2 linked regions of the Oryctolagus cuniculus genome follow. The protein of the gene in region 1 purifies or fractionates together with the protein of each later gene. This does not show direct contact. Links are inferred from orthologs where the notes say so. Each region holds a gene or a part of one and is shown in the gene's direction. Other genes may lie near its edges.

Region 1 (5,029 bases):
TTCACTCCCCAAATGCCTGTAATGTCTGGGGGCTGAGCCAGGCTTAAACCAGCAACCAGGAATTCAATCCAGGTATCTCACAGGGGTAGCAGGACCCCAATTACTTGAGCTCTCACTGCTGCCTCCTAGGGTCTACTGGGGGAAACTGGAGTCCGGAGCCAGGGCTGGGAATTGAATCCAGGTATTCCACAATATGGACCTCTTCACTGCGAGGTTAAGCGCTGGTCCTAAGAGGTTTTTTGAATTCCTCATGAAGGTTCTCTCCTTGGTCCACTTCTCAGTATGTTCAACTTAACAAAGATCAGTATTTTTCACTAGGTGAGTGTGTTTGGGCAAGCTGTTTTAGTGCCCATTTTCTTGGTCTGTTGGAAAACATAAGATAACAAATAACAGTACACTTGGAAAGTCATTGGGAAAATTAAAAGAGTTAATGCATGTGAAGTGCTATGAAAAGAGCCTGCAGCAGCAAGTGTTTACTTGTTAGTTACGGCTATTTTTACCAACATACTTCCCAAGGCTAACTTGTAGTTCCACTTATTTCCTGAGGGTTCTGACTTCCAAGTCTGTCACAGATCTTTGTCTTATCCTTTCATCTACATACGAGGCCAACTCCATCTCTATGTATTTCACCTCAAGGGAAAGAAACCAGCTACCTAAAATAGGATATTCCATCCCAAGCTAGATGCTCTTTACATATTATTTGTTAAAGTACAGCAGTCACACTGGTAACCCAAGAATCATCTTTTCTTACCACAAAGATTGAAATAAAGAAAAAGATCTGTTTTTCCTTCTTCTTCATAAAGGTAATGCTTGTTCAATATAGAAAACACGGAAAATCCAAAACGGATAAAGATTACTCAGGGTCGGTGCTGTGGAGTAGCCGGTAAAGCCGCTGCCTGCAGTGCCGGCATCCCATATGGACACTGGTTCATGTTCTGGCAGCTCCACTTCCGATCCAGCTCTCTGCTGTGGCCTGGGAGAGCAGTGGAAGATGGCCCAAGTCCTTGGGCCCTGCACCCCATGGGAGACCAGGAGAAGCACCTGGCTCCTGGCTTCGGATCAGTGCTGTGCGCCGGCCACGGCGGCCATTGGAGGGTGAACCAACGGCAAAAGAAGACCTTTCTCTCTGTCTCTCTCACTGTCCACTCTGCCTGTCAAAAAAAAAAAAAAAAAAAAAAAAAAAAGGAAAGAAAGAAAAAAGGATTAGTACTATCAAGAATTCGATGTGTCCTGTCCTTCGGCCACTGAAATGTAAGTTGCAATCCGCCAAAAAATAGTATTTGTGGCCTATCTTTTTAAACGCATACGTTTTAAAATAAGTGCTTCGTATTCACATGTGTCCCACACGATGTACTTTAGCCAATCACCTCCAGGATTGCGCCAATTTACAGGCTCAACCAAAATGGCCCGACATCTTTTTCCTTCCACAACATCACGTGATTTTAACTAAGGCCAAACACGGAACGCTCTTAGGAACCCACGAGGTAAAACGTTATCTCGCGGCGGTGAACACCGGGCTCTCCGCCGCAAGCAGGAGAATCGGCCTCAGATTCGGCCACCCCGGCTGCGCCCGCTCGGGTAGAGCCCTCGGCCGGCAGTTCTAGGCGGGAGCGCCGCACTCGATGGCGTGGCGCACAGCGATGACGCAGCACGCACGCACGCCGCCCCGCCCCCTCCGCCGGCGACTGCGCTGCGTCACGGGTTTTCAAGCGCTTCGCTGCTGGACCCTGCGACCGCAGCGGGGCCTAACGCCTGCCGGCCGCTCGCCGGGAGTCCGGTCGGCGGCGCGATGAGGCGCAGCAAGGCCGACGTGGAGCGGTATATCGCTTCGGTGCAGGGCTCCGCCCCGTCGCCGCGAGAGGTGAGTCGTGTCCGGAGAGGCCGGGCCCTGGCCCAGCGGCGGCGCCGGCGCCATGGCTCCCGGCGCCAACCGCTCCCTGGCGCGTGCGGCGGAGGTCCGGGGCGGCTCGCCCTGCCCTGTGGGCGGCGCGGCGCTCGGGAGCGCTCGGGGAGGGGCGTGGGGGCGCGGGGGACGTCGGCGTTGCCTGCTTCCTGGGGCGGGGCGGGGGGCCTTCGTCCTCGTCAGGCCTGTTCCGTGCGGCCCGCGCTGCCCGGGCCCCCGGCTGGCGCCTCGGGCGGGCTCTGCCGTCCCGCTGCGGCCGCCTCTGGGCAGGGCGGCTGTTGGAACGCGGCGGGCTGTCCCCGCTGTGACGCTGCCGCGGCCGGGCAGGCGCCCTGGACTGCGGCCCGAGCGCGGGTGACCACGCGCAGTCCTCTCAGCCCCGCACGCCGAGCAAGCTGCTGTTTTATTTGCGGCCGCTTCCCCTTTACAGACGGGGTGCTCTGAGCTCAGAGTTTGCAAGTCTTTTTCCCGACAGCCAGTTCTGAGCACGTTTCTCCCTCCTGGATTACTTGGAGGCGGCGGCGGGGAGTGGGGCAGGTTACCACCGGTGGGCGCGCGCCGGCTCGTTGGTCTGCCTGCAGTTGAGTAGTTGCGACCCTGCCCTGGCAGACGCAGGTGGAGAGCGCGTTGAGTATCCCATCTGTAAAGCGGGCTTGATGAGGTGCGTGGTCGGTGCCCAACACCTCCAACGACGCCTGGCACGCCGTCAGCCCTACATGGGCGTCAGCTGCATCTCCTGGCGCTGGTGGTGTTGATGTTGGAAGTGAAGGTCTAGACGGCTGCTTCTGCATGGACGTGCGGGAAACGAGAAGTCTGTGTTGGGTGCAGAAAAGTTGTAAAGTTTTTGTATGGTTTTTTCCATAACACGCATTTCCCACGAACTTTGAGTTCTCATATTAGTGGTTGATCATGATTACAGTGCAACATAACGTGCCTTGTATCGTAGCCTAGTTATCTTACTTTATGCTCCAATAACTAAATACTGAGTCCTGCAGACGGGGAAGGTACTTGTCCAGGGCCAAGTGGATGGCTCAGCAGGGTGTTGGCAGTGGGTCTGATTGGCTTTTTTAGGAATAGTGTAACGGCCTATAGTCTGTCTCTCTGGAGAAGACACATAGGTTCCTACGTGCAGATGCCATTTCAAATCGCTGGCATAGTTTTTGTTTAAAGATTTATTCATTTATTTGAAAGGCAGAGTTGGTGGGGGCTGGGGACTCGAAGAGAGAGAGCTTCAATCCGCTGCTTCGTTCCCCAAATGGCTGTAAGGGGCAGAGCTGGGCTGTTCTGAGCCAGCAGCCGGGGCTTCTTCCGGGTCTCCTGTGTGGGTTCAGGGTCCCAAGCACTTGGGCCGTCCTCCGCTGCTTTCCCAGGCCCATTAGCAGGGAGCTGGATTGGAAGTGGAGCAGGTGGGACTATACCAGCTGCTGCCCATATGGGATGCTGGCACTGCAGACAGTGGCTTTACCTGCTGTATCACAGACCTGCCCCTGCATAGTCTTAAGTATGAATGTGTTAATAGTGTTAGAACCTTGTTGAAGGTTTCTGTAACTCCTAAGACTGGTATACTTTTTTTTTTGTTCTTATTTTTTGAAGCAAGTTTAGCATCTCCATAAGATTTTTTTTTTAAGATTTATTTATTTATTTGAAAGAGTTACAGAAGGAGAGGCAGAGAGAGGTTCTCCCTCCGCTGGTTCACTCACCAATTGGCCACAATGGCTGGAGCTGTGCCGATCTGAACCAGAAGCCAGGAGCTTCTTCAGGGTCTCCCATGTGGGTGCAGGGGCCCAAGGACTTGGGCCATCTTCCATTGCTTACCCAGGCCACAGCCGAGAGCTGGATCAGAAGTGGAGCAGCCAGGACTCGAACCGGTGCCCATATGAGATGCCGGCACTGCAGGCAGCGGCTTTGGCCCCCCTCCATGAGATTCTTAGTGGGGACCTTGGCTCTCAAATGTTAAGAAGCTGCCGCCTGTAGTTGCAGCCAATTGGGAAGTGAACCAGCAGATGGAAGACCTCTCTCTCTGCTTCTCTTTCTCTCTGTGTAACTCTTTCAAAGAAATTAAAAAACAAAAAACAAACAAACAAAAAAAACACGGTTTGAGACAGAAGGTAGAGTATTTCTACTATATAATTTCTGTCAGATAAAGAGGATTAGTTATGGCCACCTCTCAAACTTGAAGAATATTGTTTTAATTGGGTATTTTTCTTAAAGTGGATGCCTGAGAACTTCAGCAAAATATGAAGTAGCTAGTATGTAACTTTACAATGTGTGAAGATATTTTCTGTATTTTTTTAAAGACATTTTCGGAAGGGGGCAGCCAGGACATGAGCTGGCACCCATATGGGATGCTGGCACTGCAGGCAGAGGGTTAGCCTCCTGTGCCGCAGTGTCAGCCCATGAAGGTATTTTCTAAAGTTAGATCTGAATGCAATGTCAAAATAGGGTGAGTTGGATAATTTGGAAGGGGCTTGCTGGTGGAGGGGGCAGCAGCAGCTGTGAAGAGTGGGGAGAGAGGCACTGGCATTGTGGTGCAGCAGGTTGCATTTCCTGCGATTTCAGCATCCAGTATCCCGGTGCTGGTTCAAGTTCGGCCGCTCTGCTTCCCATGCAGCTCCCTGCTAATGCACCTGGAAAGCAGCGGAAGCTGGCCCAAGTGCCTGGCCCCTGCATCCGCTTGGGAGACCTGGATGCAGTTGTGGGCTCCTGTCTTGGCCTGCCCAGGCTGGGCTGTTGTGGCCATCTGGGCAGTGAACCAGTGGATGGAAGATCTCTGTCTCACTCTCCCTGTAACTCTGCCTTTCAAATAAATAAATAAATAAATGTTTAGCATTTTTTGAAAATAAAAGAATGGAGAGAGGTTAGTGCTTAATCTCTCATTTTGGCAGAGTCTGGCCATTCGTGAACTGACTGTACTTCCTAGGATGTGGAGCTCTGGGGTTTCTTGATACGTGTAGAATCTCATATGTTCCTAGTCTTCACTGAGTTTTCATTTGTTCATGTGCTTGTAGCTGTACCATGTTTCTGCTTCTTCACATCTACTTTTGTCCTTGTTGAAACTATTCTTTCTGTAATATTGCTTTTTACATATAATTTCTTTTGTCCTAAGATTCTGTCTGGTTGGTTTCC
Region 2 (4,872 bases), on another chromosome or scaffold:
CCTTTTTCTTTGGTCCTTTGCCAGCATGGGCTGGTGCTGCCCTGTGCCTCCAGGGCGCATGGCCTTCGGGCCACCAGCCCCATGCTTCCTGGCCTACATGGTCCTCCATGTGGCTGGCTCCTGGTACTCAGCGTGCATCCAGATTCCTCTCTCTTTTAGACAGGGCCCTCACTCTCCTATGTATTTCCCTCACTGAATAAAAGGCTTAAAAACTTAGCATGCTGCCTCGTTCATTTATGCCGGTATTCAGAATTCTTTTCTGAATATTATGCAAGAACCCACACAGGCTTATTAATATTGGGAATTTATTAATTAGCACACGGTGATATCATATGGCACCCCATATTTGGATATCATATGGCGACCACGAAGGGACTTTTAGGGGGGTCAGCCTCCGGTTTCAACAGGATATTTGCAGGGTCTCAAAATGTCTTTCTCCCATCATGTGGATTTCAGTGGAAAAGCCGGGGATGACCAAGGGCATGACATTGACATCATGTGCCTGCCCCTGTGCTGGGAACTCAGCAACACTTCAGTGCTGGTCCCTGTCAGAAATGTACAACTGTGTGCACACCACTAGTCTGAAAACACTCGAGACCTGTTGACTGAATTCAACTGGAACCCAGCCACATACACAATACAGTGCTGGGATTCCGGTGCAATGCCGATGTGGACCGGGCACTGAATAACAGCGCCAGTGCCCTGTGTGCCCTTGACCTCTGTATTGTTATGGTTTCTCCTTTCTAATCTGGTCTTGAGGACTCTCTCAGAGCCTGTAAGCCAAAATAACCACTCTCTAGGGATGTCCTGACTAGAAGGGTGGTGGTGCATGGGGAATGTAATTAAGTGCTTGTGTGTGCGCCAGGTGAGACATCCAAACATACGAAACACAGAAATCATTCCTCACAGATGCCGGAGGTGAGAGGTGCCAAAGGGAGGCCAACTGGTCTATGGGGGAGGCAGGGGAGGCGGGAGCTGTGGGATTATGCCTTCATCTCGGGCTTTGCCTCGGGGCTTGTGTCTAAAGAAAACAGGAGCGATGGATGTCTTTGTTGTCATGACTCTGTCCCTATCATTTCGTTCTGTGGTGGTTAGCAGCTGTGGGATGAGGAACAAGCAGGTTATGTCACACAAACCACATCGGAGTGAAGGGCGGTTATTTAGTTCAAAGGCGATGGACACCCCAGTTTGAAGGAAGTCAAGCCTAAAATGGACGCAGGTGCAGCAACTCTAGCACATTAACGACACCGCGCTTATGGACCCATCTTTATTCCCATGAACACATCCTGAAGGGCTAAGGAGTCGCAAGACGAAGCAGAGCCTGGGTTCAAGTCCTGAGACCTCTCGATCTTCCCGCACCCCCATAGCACATCGCCACCACTTTCCCATCTTGGGATGCCGGACTCGGTGCGCGCCGTCCGGGGCACCGGAAGCAGCCCTGTCACCCGGCTGTGATGGCGGCGTCACGGGCCAATCACGGCCGGGGCTGAAAGCGCGTAAGGCACGACGGGCCGGGTAGGCGGTGCGAGACGGGACCGCAGTCCTCACAATCTCCAGGGCGGAGGCAATGGCGCTGAGGGACCGCCCCCTCGGGGCACGGACCAATCACGAACGGGGTCGGGCGCGCGCTGGGCACGACGGGACATGTAGGCGATGCGGACTGCAGTCCCCGGCGTTCCCCGCGCGGGGAGGGGCGGTGGCGGCGCGGGCGGCCGTCGGGGCTGGGCGGCTGCGGCGGCGGCGGCGGCGGCGGCGGCGGCGGCGGCGGCGGTGGTGGCTGAGGAGGGCCCGGCCTGCGGCGGCCTCGGGGGAGCCGGCCCGGCTCGCGGCCACCATGTCGGCGCCGTCGGAGGAGGAGGAGTACGCGCGGCTGGTGATGGAGGCGCAGCCCGAGTGGCTGCGCGCGGAGCTGAAGCGGCTGTCTCACGAGCTGGCCGAGACCACGCGCGAGAAGATCCAGGCGGCCGAGTATGGGCTGGCGGTACTGGAGGAGAAGCACCAGCTAAAGCTGCAGTTTGAGGAGCTGGAGGTGGACTACGAGGCTATCCGCAGCGAGATGGAGCAGCTCAAAGAAGTGAGTCGCCGCCCCCCCGACATCCACCCCACCCGAGTCTGAGCAGGCGACCCCTGCCGCGCGGGCCTGAGTCTGCGACCCTGCCTGCGACCCCGTCTCGGACCTTCACCCCTGCCAGGGCCTGCAGGCGTCCTCCCCGGCTCTGGGCCGGCTGAGGTCACCCTGCCCGGCACGGGGTGCGGAGGGCAGGCCTGCGGTGCTGGGGTCGGGGCTCGGGCGGGGCGTGGGAGTGGGCCGGGCCGCGGCCTCGGGATCCGGGCTCCCTGGCAGGGTTGGGCTTGGGTCACTGGCCCGAGTCCGGGGGGTGGGGGTAGGCCAGATGCTGCGGTCAGGGACGCAGGTGACCCACTAGGAAGTGGCTGGCCTGGGTGTCCCCTGCTGTCACCATCAGGCGCATCGCTTCCCCTCTCCGGGCGAAGCCGCTGCATCCCGTGAGTCCTGGGAGTCGGGGTTCGGGCTGCGTGTTCGGGGTCTTCAGGCCCTCTCCGCTGTTGTTGCGCCGCGCTGGCTGGAATGCGTGACTTCCCTTGCCCGCTTCCGTCCTCTTCTCCTGGGCCTTTCCTGCGGTGCCGTCTGTGTCCCTTCTGGAGGGACACTTCAGTGTCTGTGTCGTCTCTCTGTGGGCAGAGGGGGGGAGCTAGCTCCCCTCCCTCGCGCTGCCTGAGAGCCCGAGAGGCGGTGCCGTGGCAGCGAGGGTCCCGGGCAATCCTGCTGCAGCCTGAGAATGTTTCGTTTCTGTCTCTGCCGCACCCCCCACCCCCCCACCCCACCCCGACTCTCCAGCACTGCTCTGGAGGTTGGAGGGAGAAGTTACTTCCTGGGTGGGTTTGAACCCGGGCGCTGTCCCATGCTGGTGATGGCTGTGGGCAGGAACCCTCCATGAATCTTAGCCTCCTCCTGGGCAAAATGGGGGTACAGCTTTGCCCCCTTATAAAAGAGCGGTATATTTGGAAAGGCCTGGTGTGGCCAGTCCCTTTCTGACAGGTGCCTCCCTTTCCTACCTGGACTCTGTCCCAGTAAGCTCTTGGCTCTTGGTGCAGCGCCGCCAGCCCCACTCCATAGGGACCGGGACCCTTTGGAGCCTCTGTTGCCTCCCTCAGGAGACCTGTAGAATCCCCTGTTCATGATGGGAGAGAGGAGAGAGTGAGTTAATCCACGAGGGTGTTTAGCTTCACGCTGGGCAGAGCAGGGAACCCGGCATCAGTGAAGGCCTCATCGCCCGTGGGTGGGGCTGTGGACATTGATGCTGTCTGTCAGCAGGCACTGGTGTCCTCTCGCAGCCAGGCCCCACTGGTACTGGGTGGACATGTGGCCCCCTTCCAGGGAGGGGCTGTGATAAGGGGTGGCAGTGCCCTGTGGTGAGGCTCACGCACTCTGCCAGCTGCGATCCCCCCTCCTCCAGGCAGGCAGTGCTCTTCCCCTAGCCCTCCCAGCGCTGGGCAGCCCCCACAATCCCTTTCTGTGTTCAGTGTTTCTCCGGCAGTGTCCGCTGTAATAAGGGACTGTCACTGACCTAACTTGGCTCCACTGTGGGGCCTTTCAGTTGCCAGCTCCTTGCTGGTGGGACATAAACATTTTGGCAGCACGAGGAATCTTGGCTCAGTTACCCAGCATGTGTCTGGAGGCTGAGGTCCTAGCACAGGGAAGAGGGTGCAGCTGCAGCTGTAGGAGCTCTTTGGGCATCTGCTCACCTGGTTTAGTCACCTCCTGGTTCCTCCGTGTACTGGCAGCCTAGCTTTGGACAAGTTGCTCCCTCCGCTTTGTGAAGTGGGATAAGATTTCTGCTCAGATGAACAGGGCTGAACATGCCTCAGATCCAGTAGCTGCTCCCAGTCCCTCTCCCTGGACAGTGTGCCTGGTCCTCACCTCTGCCAGTACAGGCTCTTGTTAACCTGTTCAGCTTTGTATCGTCATTGAAAATATCATCTCTTATTTCACACGTCAAGATTTTTTAATATTAATTTTTTTAAGATTTATTTTGTTTATTTGAAAGGCAGAGTTATAAAGAGGGACAGAGAGAGAGAGATCTTCCATTCTCTGGTTCACTCCCCAAATGACTGCAAGGGCCAGGGCTGGGCCAGGTTGAAGCCAGGAGCCAGGAGCTTCCAGATCTTGCACTTGGGTACAGGGGCCCAAGCACTTGGGCCGTCCTCCACTGCCTTCCCAGGAGTAGTAGGAAGCTGAATGGGAGCTGGAGCAGCCGGGACCCAAACTGGTGCCCATATGGGATATGGGAGGATGCCCACTGGTTCGTTTTGTTGTTGATCTTTTGAACCTCACTGAGGGCTACTTCTGTCCCAGGTCCTACTGAGTCCTCTCCTTGGCATGATGGGGAAGCAAACTAGGTGGACTTAGCTGAGCTGCGTGGTTTTCCTGGTCCTAAGTGACTATGGCATGTCTTACTTCAAGGAGACAGGGGTGTTGGGGTGGGCCTAGGGCTTTTTAGGGGGCAGGTAGGGGCAGAGGTCTGCTTACATGTGAAGAAGCCTGGTAAGGGCCCTAAAAAAAATCCCCAAAGTGCGGAACTGAGCTTGTTTGCAGGGCCCTATAGTCAGAGAGGCAGCCACTGGAATCGAAAGATAATGGCCCTGTGTTCACGCTTGTCACTAACTGCTCCACTTCCCTTCCCACCAACGGAGTGGGGGTTGGGGTCATGAGGGAGCCTTTAAGAGTCCTTCCACTTTTAAAAATGTCTGAAACTCCCACCTTGAGTCATGGTTCTTTTTCCTCCTGCAGGGCCTGGGGACCGGGCACCTGTGTGTCTCACCAGTTGTGGGATCTGGCACAGTCTGCCAGCT

What was found.
Region 2: the proteins of E3 SUMO-protein ligase RanBP2 (region 1) and BICD2 purify together in Homo sapiens (affinity purification with western blotting; 3 studies listed by BioGRID and IntAct, with this or other methods). This does not show direct contact. The link is inferred for Oryctolagus cuniculus from reciprocal best matches to the Homo sapiens genes RANBP2 and BICD2.

The regions. Positions count from the first base shown.
Region 1 is NC_091433.1:100,112,324-100,117,352, reverse strand, and holds the start of E3 SUMO-protein ligase RanBP2, read left to right. Parts: upstream 1-1,651; 5' UTR 1,652-1,789; coding exon 1,790-1,861; intron 1,862-2,453; exon of another isoform or gene 2,454-2,564; intron 2,565-5,029. UniProt on the Homo sapiens protein: E3 SUMO-protein ligase which facilitates SUMO1 and SUMO2 conjugation by UBE2I. Involved in transport factor (Ran-GTP, karyopherin)-mediated protein import via the F-G repeat-containing domain which acts as a docking site for substrates.
Region 2 is NC_091432.1:146,065,565-146,070,436, forward strand, and holds the start of BICD2 (protein bicaudal D homolog 2), read left to right. Parts: upstream 1-1,667; 5' UTR 1,668-1,729; intron 1,730-1,737; exon of another isoform or gene 1,738-1,793; 5' UTR 1,794-1,834; coding exon 1,835-2,074; intron 2,075-4,872. UniProt on the Homo sapiens protein: Acts as an adapter protein linking the dynein motor complex to various cargos and converts dynein from a non-processive to a highly processive motor in the presence of dynactin.